3 linked regions of the Saccharomyces cerevisiae S288C genome follow. The gene in region 3 interacts genetically with the main gene of each other region. Each region holds a gene or a part of one and is shown on either strand. Other genes may lie near its edges.

Region 1 (4,689 bases), on a different chromosome or scaffold from region 3:
TATGCCCACTATTAGTGCCTTTAACAATAGAATCCCAACAATTATTCAATTATTCACCCATAAAATCCACCTATTTTTCAAGAAAGCATTAGATTTGCTCATTATTATTTATTATTAACATAAAAGTGCCTTTGGTAGTTACTATGTATTTAGTGTGGTGACCCGTATTCCTCATATATATAAGTAGCTACCACATTATGTTCAATCAATATATCTTTAACTCAGCTCAGCATTGTCTGAATTGCTCGCTTAAGTTTTTATCCTGTGATTAGTGCATTTACACATAAACGTATACCGGGTGTACCTCAATATACTATGTAAACATTTAAATTGTTACCATAACAACTCATGTTATTATTAATGATCACTTGACAACATATAAAAACGAAAGAAGAAATAATAATACTACTATGTATAAGTATCCATTTCCTTTTGTGGATTCCTCAAAATGGCCAGTATATTCGGAAGTAACATAATGTAGTTATTCATCGATGAGGTTCACATTCTGTAGCACTGACCCATCGAAAGAAAAGAGTTTATATTTTGATAAATTACATAAAAGCTGAAAAGTTTGTAGTGGTCATAGAAGGTAACCCACCTCCTAAGAAATCCAGCATCATATGCATACCACCACCTCCACTATACTCATCAACATCCTGTGGTAAAACCTGTGATACGCTATCCAAGAACCACACTTTGTCCTTTATTTCTGTGGTATAACCTCTCAATAATGTATAGTAAGACCTCATTATTCTCATGGCCCCTAGGTCGCCTGTCATTAATAATGCTAAAAAAGTCCTATCCAAAAGAGCAGGAAATGAGAAGACTCTCAACATAAAATCTAATTGATTTTTTTCGCGATGCAGTTTGTCCAAATATGCTAAAGTTATCAAGTACGGTGAATCAATTTCTACGGGATATAAATCTGCTATACTTTCGTCAAAGCATACGAGTTCCGATATCGTATTATTGTTATTTCCATCACCATTATTGCTATTGTCATTATCATTATTATGATTACTTTGGTTGATTACAGCTTCACCCAAATCACTCAAGTCAACAGAAATTAAGTTATAAAACTTGGATGTCTCCGACAGGGGCCATACAGCAGTTAGTATAGTTACGGCGCCTTTAACATGGAAAATCCATGCCGTTGGTGAGCTGCTTGAAGCATTTGCCAATGAATCTAGGATTAATATTAGAGCACTAGCCACCAAAGCATCTGTGTTATCATCTGAAATTTCGAGCACAGCCTCTCTTAACAGTCTCAACGCTTCTAAACGATGACTAGACACGTAGTTATCCAAGCCGGCTTCAGTTCTGGACAAATGAGTGGCGCTAAAAGCCAAAATTGTATGCATCAAGAAGGGAAAATGAAAAGCCAAATCCGGAATATAAGTGCTCCATACTTCAGGACCAGAAATGCCTGCTTCGGTTATGGTATGCCATACGTCAGTACAATAGTGATGAAAAAGTTTTAGATCTATCAAATTCAAATTTGATTTTCTAGACAGCCCGACTAATTCAGGGACTAGTCGTGAGGCTGATGAAGCGTTTGAATGGGGAGAAGATTGTTGTTGAGTGTGAGAATTTGATGAACGTGGAGACAATGCCTCCGAGTTGGATAACAGGTCACCCATTGGGGACGTCTTCAAAGTAGGAGAATTTCCCAAAGCGGTCCTGTTGTCCGGTATAGATAACAATGACTTTGTAGAGGTTACATTGGATACTCCCGTTGAAGGGGACGCAATGTTTTGATCTATGGAAGGTTTGGACAACGTGTGTGGGGGACTGATTGTGAGACCGGTATTGTCGATTATCAAGTTTTTGTTATGAGATAGTATATCAGAAGCAGTAACTTTATTTTCGTTTCCGTTAAGGGGGTTATTGCCCGAATTAACAGCATCCGTCTTAGTATTATCCAATGGGTTCTTCGTAAATTGCTTGTTTTTGTCCTCCTGTTCCTGTTGCATATTTGCGAGTGCCTCCTCTGCTGTGCTAACTTTGATTGCTCTGTTATTAGATGTAGCAAACTTTCCGAGGCCAAATAACTCTTGAAACTCAGAGGCCATTCCATTTGCAGCACCGTATGGAAATAATGTATTGAAGCTCTTCATATTGAAGTTCAAGCCCATCTTGTTCAATTGCGCTAGCTGGTCGAAGGGAATATTGCTGAAGGGGGACTGTGTTCCTTGTTGTTGTGGAATTTGCTGATTTTGTTGTTGAAGTTGTGGCTGCTGCAATCCATTCGTCACCGAATTTAGCCTACCAGGCGAGAGTAAGCCGTTAAGGCTACTTGATAAATTCATGGCCGTTGATTGAAAACTAGGTGTTATCGGTATACTCAATGGCGAATTCCCTGGTAGGGCCATGTTTGGGTGGTTGTTGTTTATCATTGAACTGGGAGCTGTTTGTGTTATATTATTATGCGCTTCAGCTCCATTTGCACTGCTGTTGGTACTGTTACTGGTGTTATTCACTAAACTCGCTAATAGGTGCGGTAACAAAAGATTCTCCATATTATTGGATACGGATGGAGGAACGCTATTAGGGGAATTGCTTTGTTCATCAGTACCAACATGTGGCAACAGTTGCTGCTGTAACTGAACTTGCTGTTGTTGACGAAATTGCTGTTCTTGTTGATGATGAAGTTGCTGTTGTTGTTGTTGTAACATGATGGCATTGTCACTCAGATTTTTCTTGCCTACCCTATCGTGGACCGCTGATGCAAATTTTGACGACGAAGAATCTTTTCTTCTTCTTGGCTGAATAGGGCTGTAAACACAGTCCAATTTCATGTTTGTACATTTCTTGCAAAATGGTTTGCCTTCATCACATTTTACTCTTCTTCTTTTACAATTGTCGCAACCGGTCTTGGACTTGTTATGAAACTTCCGTTTCCCTGTCGAAGTCTTGCTCACTTTCTTGCCCCCAACCTCAATCAGTTCAGCATCCTTCTCTCTTTCTTGTCCAGCATTCCCATCATCGGATGTCATGTTATGTTAGATGGAGATCTATGGATAAACGAAATATAAACCTTAAATGAAAAAAACCGTCGACTTAACTCCTCTATATTATGTAAAGGCGAAATGTTATTTGTGCCTTTGAAAAGTGGAGGTCTTGGTTGCTTCTCCTTCGACGATAATCGATTTCGGTGACTAGTTAGTAGATGATGTAATCGTAGACGCAGGGAACCCTTGCTTTTCCCCAATCGTAACAAAAAAAAACAAGGGGAAATAAACTATTAGATAGTACGAGTTCGTTAAGTTAAAAAAAAGGCTATAAAAGTCGAAGAACGAATGATTACGACCAACATCTATTGTTCAAACTTGCCTTCGTTGAGTTTATCGAACGCGCTCGTTTAAATTTTTCCGACAAGAACGAGGAACGAGTCACCAATTACGTTTTCGGCTCTGTCGGTTGCAGGATCTGTAAAAGCGATATAGATACACACGTCAGCATGAAGCTCTTATGATTTGGCGAGTAGTGTTAGTACGTTAAATGCTACGACTCGGCATATACTGTGCTCGTTTTTATCAGTTTCATCCGAGGATTGTAGCCTTTTTTTTTCATTTGTTGATGTTTCTCTAGTATTTTCCGTCTTGTAGTGGTTTCGGGTATGTTGAACATAAACATTAAAAAAGACGATTAAATAAACTTGAGTTTGTACAAAGGAAAGCTGTAGTCATAGAGTATTTAGAAAAAAAAGCAGCCACAGTTTACATGAAGATGTGACCAATGAGGAGGCATCGGTTTGCCTTTGAATCTCAATCGCTTGAAAATTGAGTTCTTTTCGAATGATGACACCTCCGAGAAATGGCATTTCTATGCTAGCGCCACTCTACCCTTTCAAACGTCCGTACTCATATGAAGTTTCATCCTTCACGCAGCGATCTAAAAAGTTGTAAAAAAAAATACATTTAGGCCTAGCTATATATGCTACTATGTATCATTCAGTGAAATGGCTGAGGTTATATAAAATACTGGGAGGTCGTTTTTACGCTAAAGCAGACCTTGCGGATCTTTTCCTGTAGAATATATTTGTAGCATAAGTCCAATTTTACGGGCGCATTTTCAAAATCAAGGTGATATTGACATATTTTGAAGAGCACCCAATGGGCTAGCTGCAAGAACAAAGAGACCAGAAAGCCTAGAATTAAATGCCAGAAAAATGGAAATTTATTCTAGACAAAAATTGTTCGGCACCTCTACAGACGTTTAACGAACCTGGTCCGGCCTTTGAGGCGATCAAAAAAAGGCCCATTTTTGTGTTCCGCGTAATTGGTTTGCGCCTTTCCATGGAGCTTGGTGGGCGACATTCTCAAACTGGTTTCCTGATACATCATGCACGCCCGTAAAGGGTTTAAGTATTGATTGCTAGCCTGAATGTTTCATATGCATACCGTGTCTATGCAACGAATATATTTCAGAAAAAAGCACGAAAGCCAAATTTTTGATGTTAAGAGGTGTTTTTGCCCGTAAACGGAGAAGACGTGGTAGGACTCGCAAATGTCGCGTTTAGCGTTGAAGAACATGGAAGTATTGAACGTTTGGGGCTTGACGGCTCGACTTTTTTGCACTACTCCGCCTTGAACAGACGGATGATCCTGGCGCAAGAAACAAAGAGAATCAACTCTGAGCAAAGCGAAAAAATGAAATACAACGATAATAAAAGGATAGGAAGGTGTA
Region 2 (3,690 bases), on a different chromosome or scaffold from region 3:
CATATAAGCCACTACCCATTCTATTTTTTGTTTAGTCTTTGGGTCAATGTTCTCTGGTGATTTTCCAAAGGTAACAAGATTTGTCATCCAGCCTGCTATTCTTGTGTTCCATGTTTGAAAGCACTGCTGATAGCTTGCAATGACATCATATTGGCCATTTTGTATAGGAGGATCTCTAAATGGATCTTTCAATTCGTGCGTGTTTTCACTGGAAAAGGACGTATACGAATCTTGCCTGCTCAGCATGTAATGGTCTCTCATTCCGCAAAGGCGCCTCCAGAGCTTGATTTCATTCCATGCAACGGGCGCCATCGCACCAACAGCGAAGCATATCAATACGGTAATGCACACTACGGTGGCTATTTTCAGGACATGTCCCAAGATGGAATAAAAGGCCAAAATTTCTGATTGATTGGATGAGCAAATCCCAGTACTGTTGTCAAGGGACACGGGAGGTACGTACAAAACGGAGGTATCTCCGATTATATTGCTGGCATTCACGGCCTTGATATTCTTCCGAACTTCATTGAAGGGAACCGAGATCAGGTTCTTGGTTGTATTCTTAACCTGGGCAAAGTCCGGCGTCTTTGCCGATAACTCTTCAAGCTTATCGTTGATTGAGGAAGGAATGTATAAATTGTGAAGCGCAGATATGGTTAAGTTGACGCTTTTGATTGACGACGTCATGTTACTGTCATCGTCATCACCTGTGAAAAAATTCTCTACTTTGGATGCGGCCTTGATCACTTTATTGATTATTTTGGAGATGTCATTCAAGCCCGTATCCAATTCATTAGCCACACTTGAAACTGTATCATTGACTAAGCTAATCAGTTTTTCTGTAATGTTAGTAGCAACGTCCACGGTACCATCAACGGCACTAACAATCAAACAGGCATAAGTGCCCAAATACAGGTCAATGGCAAAGTTTACCAGCCCCTCGCTCGCATATACTATAAGTGATAACGTCTCTAGCGTAGCTTTAACAGTCTCCTCCATACCCTTCTCGATAAGATAATTCCCCATGATACCTAAATAGTGCGGCGTGTTGTCTGTCATCTTGGAGTATAGTGAATCAATACTGTAACAATTGGACAAAATATACGTTTCCGAGACTTCTATCGCATGTTGTATGGATTTGGAGAAAAACAGAAGCTTCAGCATTGCTAGCAGCAAAACCAAAGTATACTTATTTAGCCATATTTGAGAGAGCCTGTCACCCAATTGCAAATAGCATTTAAAACCGCTCATATCATCAACGTTCACAAATTCGAAAGGGAATCATCCTAACCAAATATTTCGGGATTATCTTAAGGACTTATGTTGGTCACATTCGTCATATATATATACCTCTTGCCAGCAACAGGCCAGTTATAAGTTAAAATTAATATGTGACGCACTTCTGAAACAGTATTGAAACAGTATTGAAACATATGTATTACCCGGACTCTGCATGCTCTGTCGTTCATTTTATTTTCACCTAAACGAAAATCCCGTGAAAAAAATTTATATCGCCTTTCGCTCTTTTGTATGTAGGCATCATCGGAAATTTGCATTGTGTGAAGGTTGTGCATATAAAGGGTTTTGCATAACGGACGTTTTTCACGTACTCCGTCTGAGCATCAAGTGAGGCTTGAGTTTACGTTTGTTTTTAATAATCAGTTTTCATTCTACTATTTTCTTGCGCAATTGCTTATCAGATAGACCTTGTAAACAGCATAGGAGTAAAGACAAATTCGGTGTAGAGAATAAAAGGATGGTATCAGCTTTGAATCCCAGAACTACAGAGTTTGAATTTGGTGGGCTGATTGGTGCCTTAGGCATCAGCATAGGGCTGCCTGTTTTCACTATCATCTTGAATCAAATGATAAGGCCCGATTATTTTATTAAGGGATTTTTCCAGAATTTCGATATAGTTGAGCTTTGGAACGGTATCAAGCCATTGCGCTACTATCTGGGCAATCGTGAATTATGGACTGTCTATTGCCTGTGGTATGGAATACTGGCAGTTTTGGACGTCATTTTACCGGGCAGAGTCATGAAGGGTGTTCAGTTAAGGGATGGTTCGAAGCTTTCGTATAAGATCAATGGAATTGCCATGTCTACAACTTTGGTCTTAGTTTTGGCTATCAGATGGAAATTGACTGATGGACAATTGCCTGAATTGCAATATCTGTATGAAAATCACGTTAGTTTATGCATAATATCTATTTTGTTTTCGTTCTTTTTGGCGACGTACTGCTATGTTGCCAGCTTCATACCATTGATCTTCAAGAAAAATGGTAATGGCAAAAGGGAAAAGATCTTAGCACTAGGTGGAAATTCAGGAAACATCATTTACGATTGGTTTATTGGTAGAGAACTGAACCCTCGTCTCGGCCCATTAGATATCAAGATGTTTTCAGAGTTGAGACCCGGCATGTTGTTATGGTTACTGATCAATCTTTCCTGTCTGCATCACCATTACCTGAAGACTGGTAAAATCAACGATGCATTGGTCTTGGTTAATTTCTTGCAAGGATTTTACATTTTCGATGGAGTACTAAACGAGGAAGGTGTATTAACCATGATGGATATCACTACAGATGGGTTTGGTTTCATGCTAGCGTTTGGTGACTTAAGTTTAGTTCCATTCACCTACTCATTACAAGCGCGTTACTTGAGTGTTTCCCCTGTGGAATTGGGATGGGTGAAAGTTGTCGGTATATTAGCCATAATGTTTTTGGGTTTCCACATCTTCCACTCGGCAAATAAGCAAAAATCTGAGTTTAGACAAGGTAAATTAGAAAATCTAAAAAGTATTCAGACAAAGCGTGGTACAAAGTTATTATGTGACGGGTGGTGGGCTAAATCACAGCATATCAATTACTTTGGCGATTGGCTGATTTCATTAAGTTGGTGTTTGGCCACCTGGTTCCAAACTCCCTTGACATATTACTACTCGTTGTACTTCGCCACGTTGTTATTACACCGTCAACAACGTGATGAGCACAAGTGCCGCCTGAAATATGGCGAAAATTGGGAAGAATACGAAAGAAAAGTTCCTTACAAGATCATTCCATATGTTTATTAAGTTTTTCTACCACTGCTATTTTCTTCATTATCTATGTATGTGTGTATACATGTTATGTATTGGGTGAGTATGAGGAAGAAGAAGAATAACAATTGAAAACGCTGGAAAAATTAAAAGGGGCGGTGGTCTATCTATGCAACGCTCCCCTTTTCGTTACATGAACACATCAAACTTGTATATCCTTTGAGTGTTCTTTAATCAAGTCATCTTGGTATTTTAGTAGCGTTTCCACTACTTTAGGGACAAATTCAGACCTAACCAATCCATCAAAAGCATCAAACCCTTGCGACAAAATCGGAATATCAGACTCGTCATGCATAAACTCTGGAATTTCTAGTTTCCCGTCCGCAAGTATGCCGTCATCATCCTCGTCGTCCTTATTAGTATCCAAATTTGTCACTTTGACGTTCATCGACAACTGTAAGTCAAAGTAGCAAATCGGCTTGCCCTTCCTTTGAGATACGTTGGAGTCACCGGTGATGCTACTCACCTGGGTTAACTCAATTTTGCTCTTCCCATCAGAGGAAACAGTGGACAAACTCGTTAATTTACCGTTCAAGTAGTCCTTAGACCAAGGTAAGGTGTTTTTATCCACCCAATGCCAGTTATTTGGATTC
Region 3 (2,667 bases):
CCTTTCTGATGGCCATCAAACCTGGCATTTCATGTTCAGCCAATTCGATTTCCTTTCTACCGAAGGCAGCCAAAGAGATATCAGCGATTTTGTAGTTTTGAGCTGGAGCAGACATTGGGAATTGTTCTTTTTGTCAGTTGGGTTATTTCGAGGAGAAGAGGATTTTCAGAAAGAAAGAAAAACAAATAGGAATGGAATCATGGAGTTAATAAACCACGTTACTAAATAAGAGATTGGAAAATCTAAAATACGGCTTCGAGGTCGTTTAATTTTCTTTTTCCTCTGAAAATTTTCTTTCTTTTTCGGCCTTAGCCTGTGAAAATTTCGGCCGAAAAAAAAGCCAACGAGATCACGTGCACAGAAATATCTGCGTTAGAGGAGAGAGGTAGGGATACTTACAGAAATGAAGCCAAATTGGCAGCTTTTTGAGAAATAATCATGAATGATAAACAATTGCTGTTAAATAATGTACGGAAGGTTTGGATAAAGGTTGCTATAGGCATTATATAAATAAATCATCTCTATATAATTTTTTTTACAGGATATGCTTGCCCTTACATCAGAATTACCAAGCAACACCAGTGTAGTATTCTCTTTGTTTGTACATCCAAACCAAAGAGGTGGTTGAGACAACCAATGGACCCATGAATCCCTTTCCCAACTTACAAGTTCTAAAGATCAATAATTCAGAGCCGAAGTGGAATAGGGCAACCATATAAGACATGAAGACCAATTCGAAAATGTGTGGTTCATTCAAGTACATAGCCCCATAGAATCTGATAACACAGGAAATAAAGGTCCAAGTACCGAAAGTTCTTGCACTCAAATGGGTTGTTTCAGTGGGTTTTCTTTCGTAGACTTTACGTGTCAATTCTAAACCAGAAACGTAAGTCTGGATAGAATTGAAGACTGATACAATGGAAATGAAAAGTAACCATTTTGGTAAGTAACCTTTTGGCATTGCTGCCAAGGTGGTCTTGGTTGTAGTTATTACGTCTTGTAGGCTGAACATTATCTGATACTTTAGTGTATTTGAATCCTTCGATACTATGGTCTAGCTAGTGTCAAGAATATAAAAACCTGAAATTAGTCAATGCGTTTACGTCAAAAATAGTAGCAATAGTAAAGCAAAACAACAGGCTTGTTCAGCTTAGTTTTATATACGGGGGTAGAGAATACAATGGATCGTACCTTTTTTTTTGTTTCCTGTTCGTTCCGTCCCCGAACGAAAAAATCATAAAATAGAAGTTTCCTATCGGTAATACCGTAAAGTTTAATTCAGTTCGTATAAGATTAGGTTAATCATGGGCAAGTCCGGAAGAAGCGTTTTAATGTAGGTCTGTTGGGGAAGATGTTGTGTTCACTGTAATTTTCAACTGAAGTTGTTGTCCCCGAAATGAAAGAGCTTTCGATATTTTTGTGTTTTATAATGCGCCTCCTACTGCAAAAGAAAAATTAAATGTTTTCTGTCTCATTGAACCATCTTGACAATCGAAAGCGCGCTATCAAATTTCTTTCGGCAGTAATTAATAAGGCCGCCTGTATATATTTCCTTTTCTTCTGAAGCGATATTTCATGAGCCGGAAATTTTTCCAGGAAAGGTTTTAAGTGCTGCCATTCAATGCTTTCAAATGTCTCGAGCAATGATAGAATAACTATCTTGAGTATTTTCAATAGACCCCCTAACTCTTTTTCTGGGACACCGCTTATTACACTGTAAAAGTTCTTTAAGTAGGTTTTCTTCAAACTCAATTCTCTTTCGAGGTATACTCGACAGTACGCCTTTTTCCGGTTGATGCATATTAGTTTATGCTTCGATACAAATCTAATAAGTACATGTATCAGACTTTCGATGATGATAAGTATGTGTTCAATTAATTTCAGAACAGATACGTATTTTAATATCTGCGGTTCAAATGTTTGGTTTGTCTTGATTTTGATGAGTTGAATGTTAATAATAGAGTAAATAAGGGTAAAATGCAACGAACACAAGCGCTTGTAGTCAACTTTATCACATAAATGTTTGCCATCTCCCTGGTCGTAAAAGTTTTGAAGCCATTTTGGATCGTTTTGGTTCTTCTTCAATAAAATTCTATTAAACAGAAACTTGGCGATGAAATTGAAAACATGAACGTCTATCAGTGTCCTCTTAAAAGAAGAATCAGAATCTATGCGATGCGAATAATGAGAAACTAACAAGATTTGGAGTGTTTGAAACACTTGCGATAACCCTCTAAAGTCAATTTCTTTTGTTTTTAAGCTCAGGATTTTTAGCAGAATTTTATATCTCGGTAAAAACCAGTTGTTTATATCAGCAGTTGATACATCTTTGCTAAATGATTGCAGCTCCTTTAAACCAACTGCATCTTCGAAGCTTTTGTACTTATTCTGGCAAAGGAAATTGTATATAGGTTCCAGATGAGCAAACAGTGATTTATTATTCAAAAATCCATTTTCGAAAGGCGCAACCCATTTGTATATATGTTTTGAGTTTTCCCGAGGATTTATTTTTAAATTTTTTTCACTCTTGAGAGCACCTACATCTTCGACATCTCCTTTCTTTCTTGAAAGTGCCCTCTTCCACAACGTAGGATTCCTGGATTGAATTAAAGCAAAACACTGTCATAGATAATATTCGAGGAGATTACACCTCTTACTAAAAGTTAG

The links.
Region 1: mutations in ERG28 (region 3) and ECM22 are lethal when combined (synthetic lethality), as found in Saccharomyces cerevisiae (one study listed by BioGRID).
Region 2: mutations in ERG28 (region 3) and ERG24 are lethal when combined (synthetic lethality), as found in Saccharomyces cerevisiae (one study listed by BioGRID).

Annotation. Positions count from the first base shown.
Region 1 is NC_001144.5:599,468-604,156, forward strand, and holds ECM22 (Ecm22p), read right to left. Parts: upstream 2,997-4,689; coding exon 552-2,996; downstream 1-551.
Region 2 is NC_001146.8:108,478-112,167, reverse strand, and holds ERG24 (delta(14)-sterol reductase), read left to right. Parts: upstream 1-1,756; coding exon 1,757-3,073; downstream 3,074-3,690. Other genes in the region: pheromone-regulated protein PRM1, read right to left, coding at 1-1,251; HCH1 (Hch1p), read right to left, coding at 3,240-3,690. UniProt on the Saccharomyces cerevisiae protein: Delta(14)-sterol reductase; part of the third module of ergosterol biosynthesis pathway that includes the late steps of the pathway. ERG24 reduces the C14=C15 double bond of 4,4-dimethyl-cholesta-8,14,24-trienol to produce 4,4-dimethyl-cholesta-8,24-dienol.
Region 3 is NC_001137.3:237,005-239,671, forward strand, and holds ERG28 (Erg28p), read right to left. Parts: upstream 1,013-2,667; coding exon 566-1,012; downstream 1-565. Other genes in the region: SAH1 (adenosylhomocysteinase), read right to left, coding at 1-115; MEI4 (Mei4p), read right to left, coding at 1,456-2,619. UniProt on the Saccharomyces cerevisiae protein: Part of the third module of ergosterol biosynthesis pathway that includes the late steps of the pathway.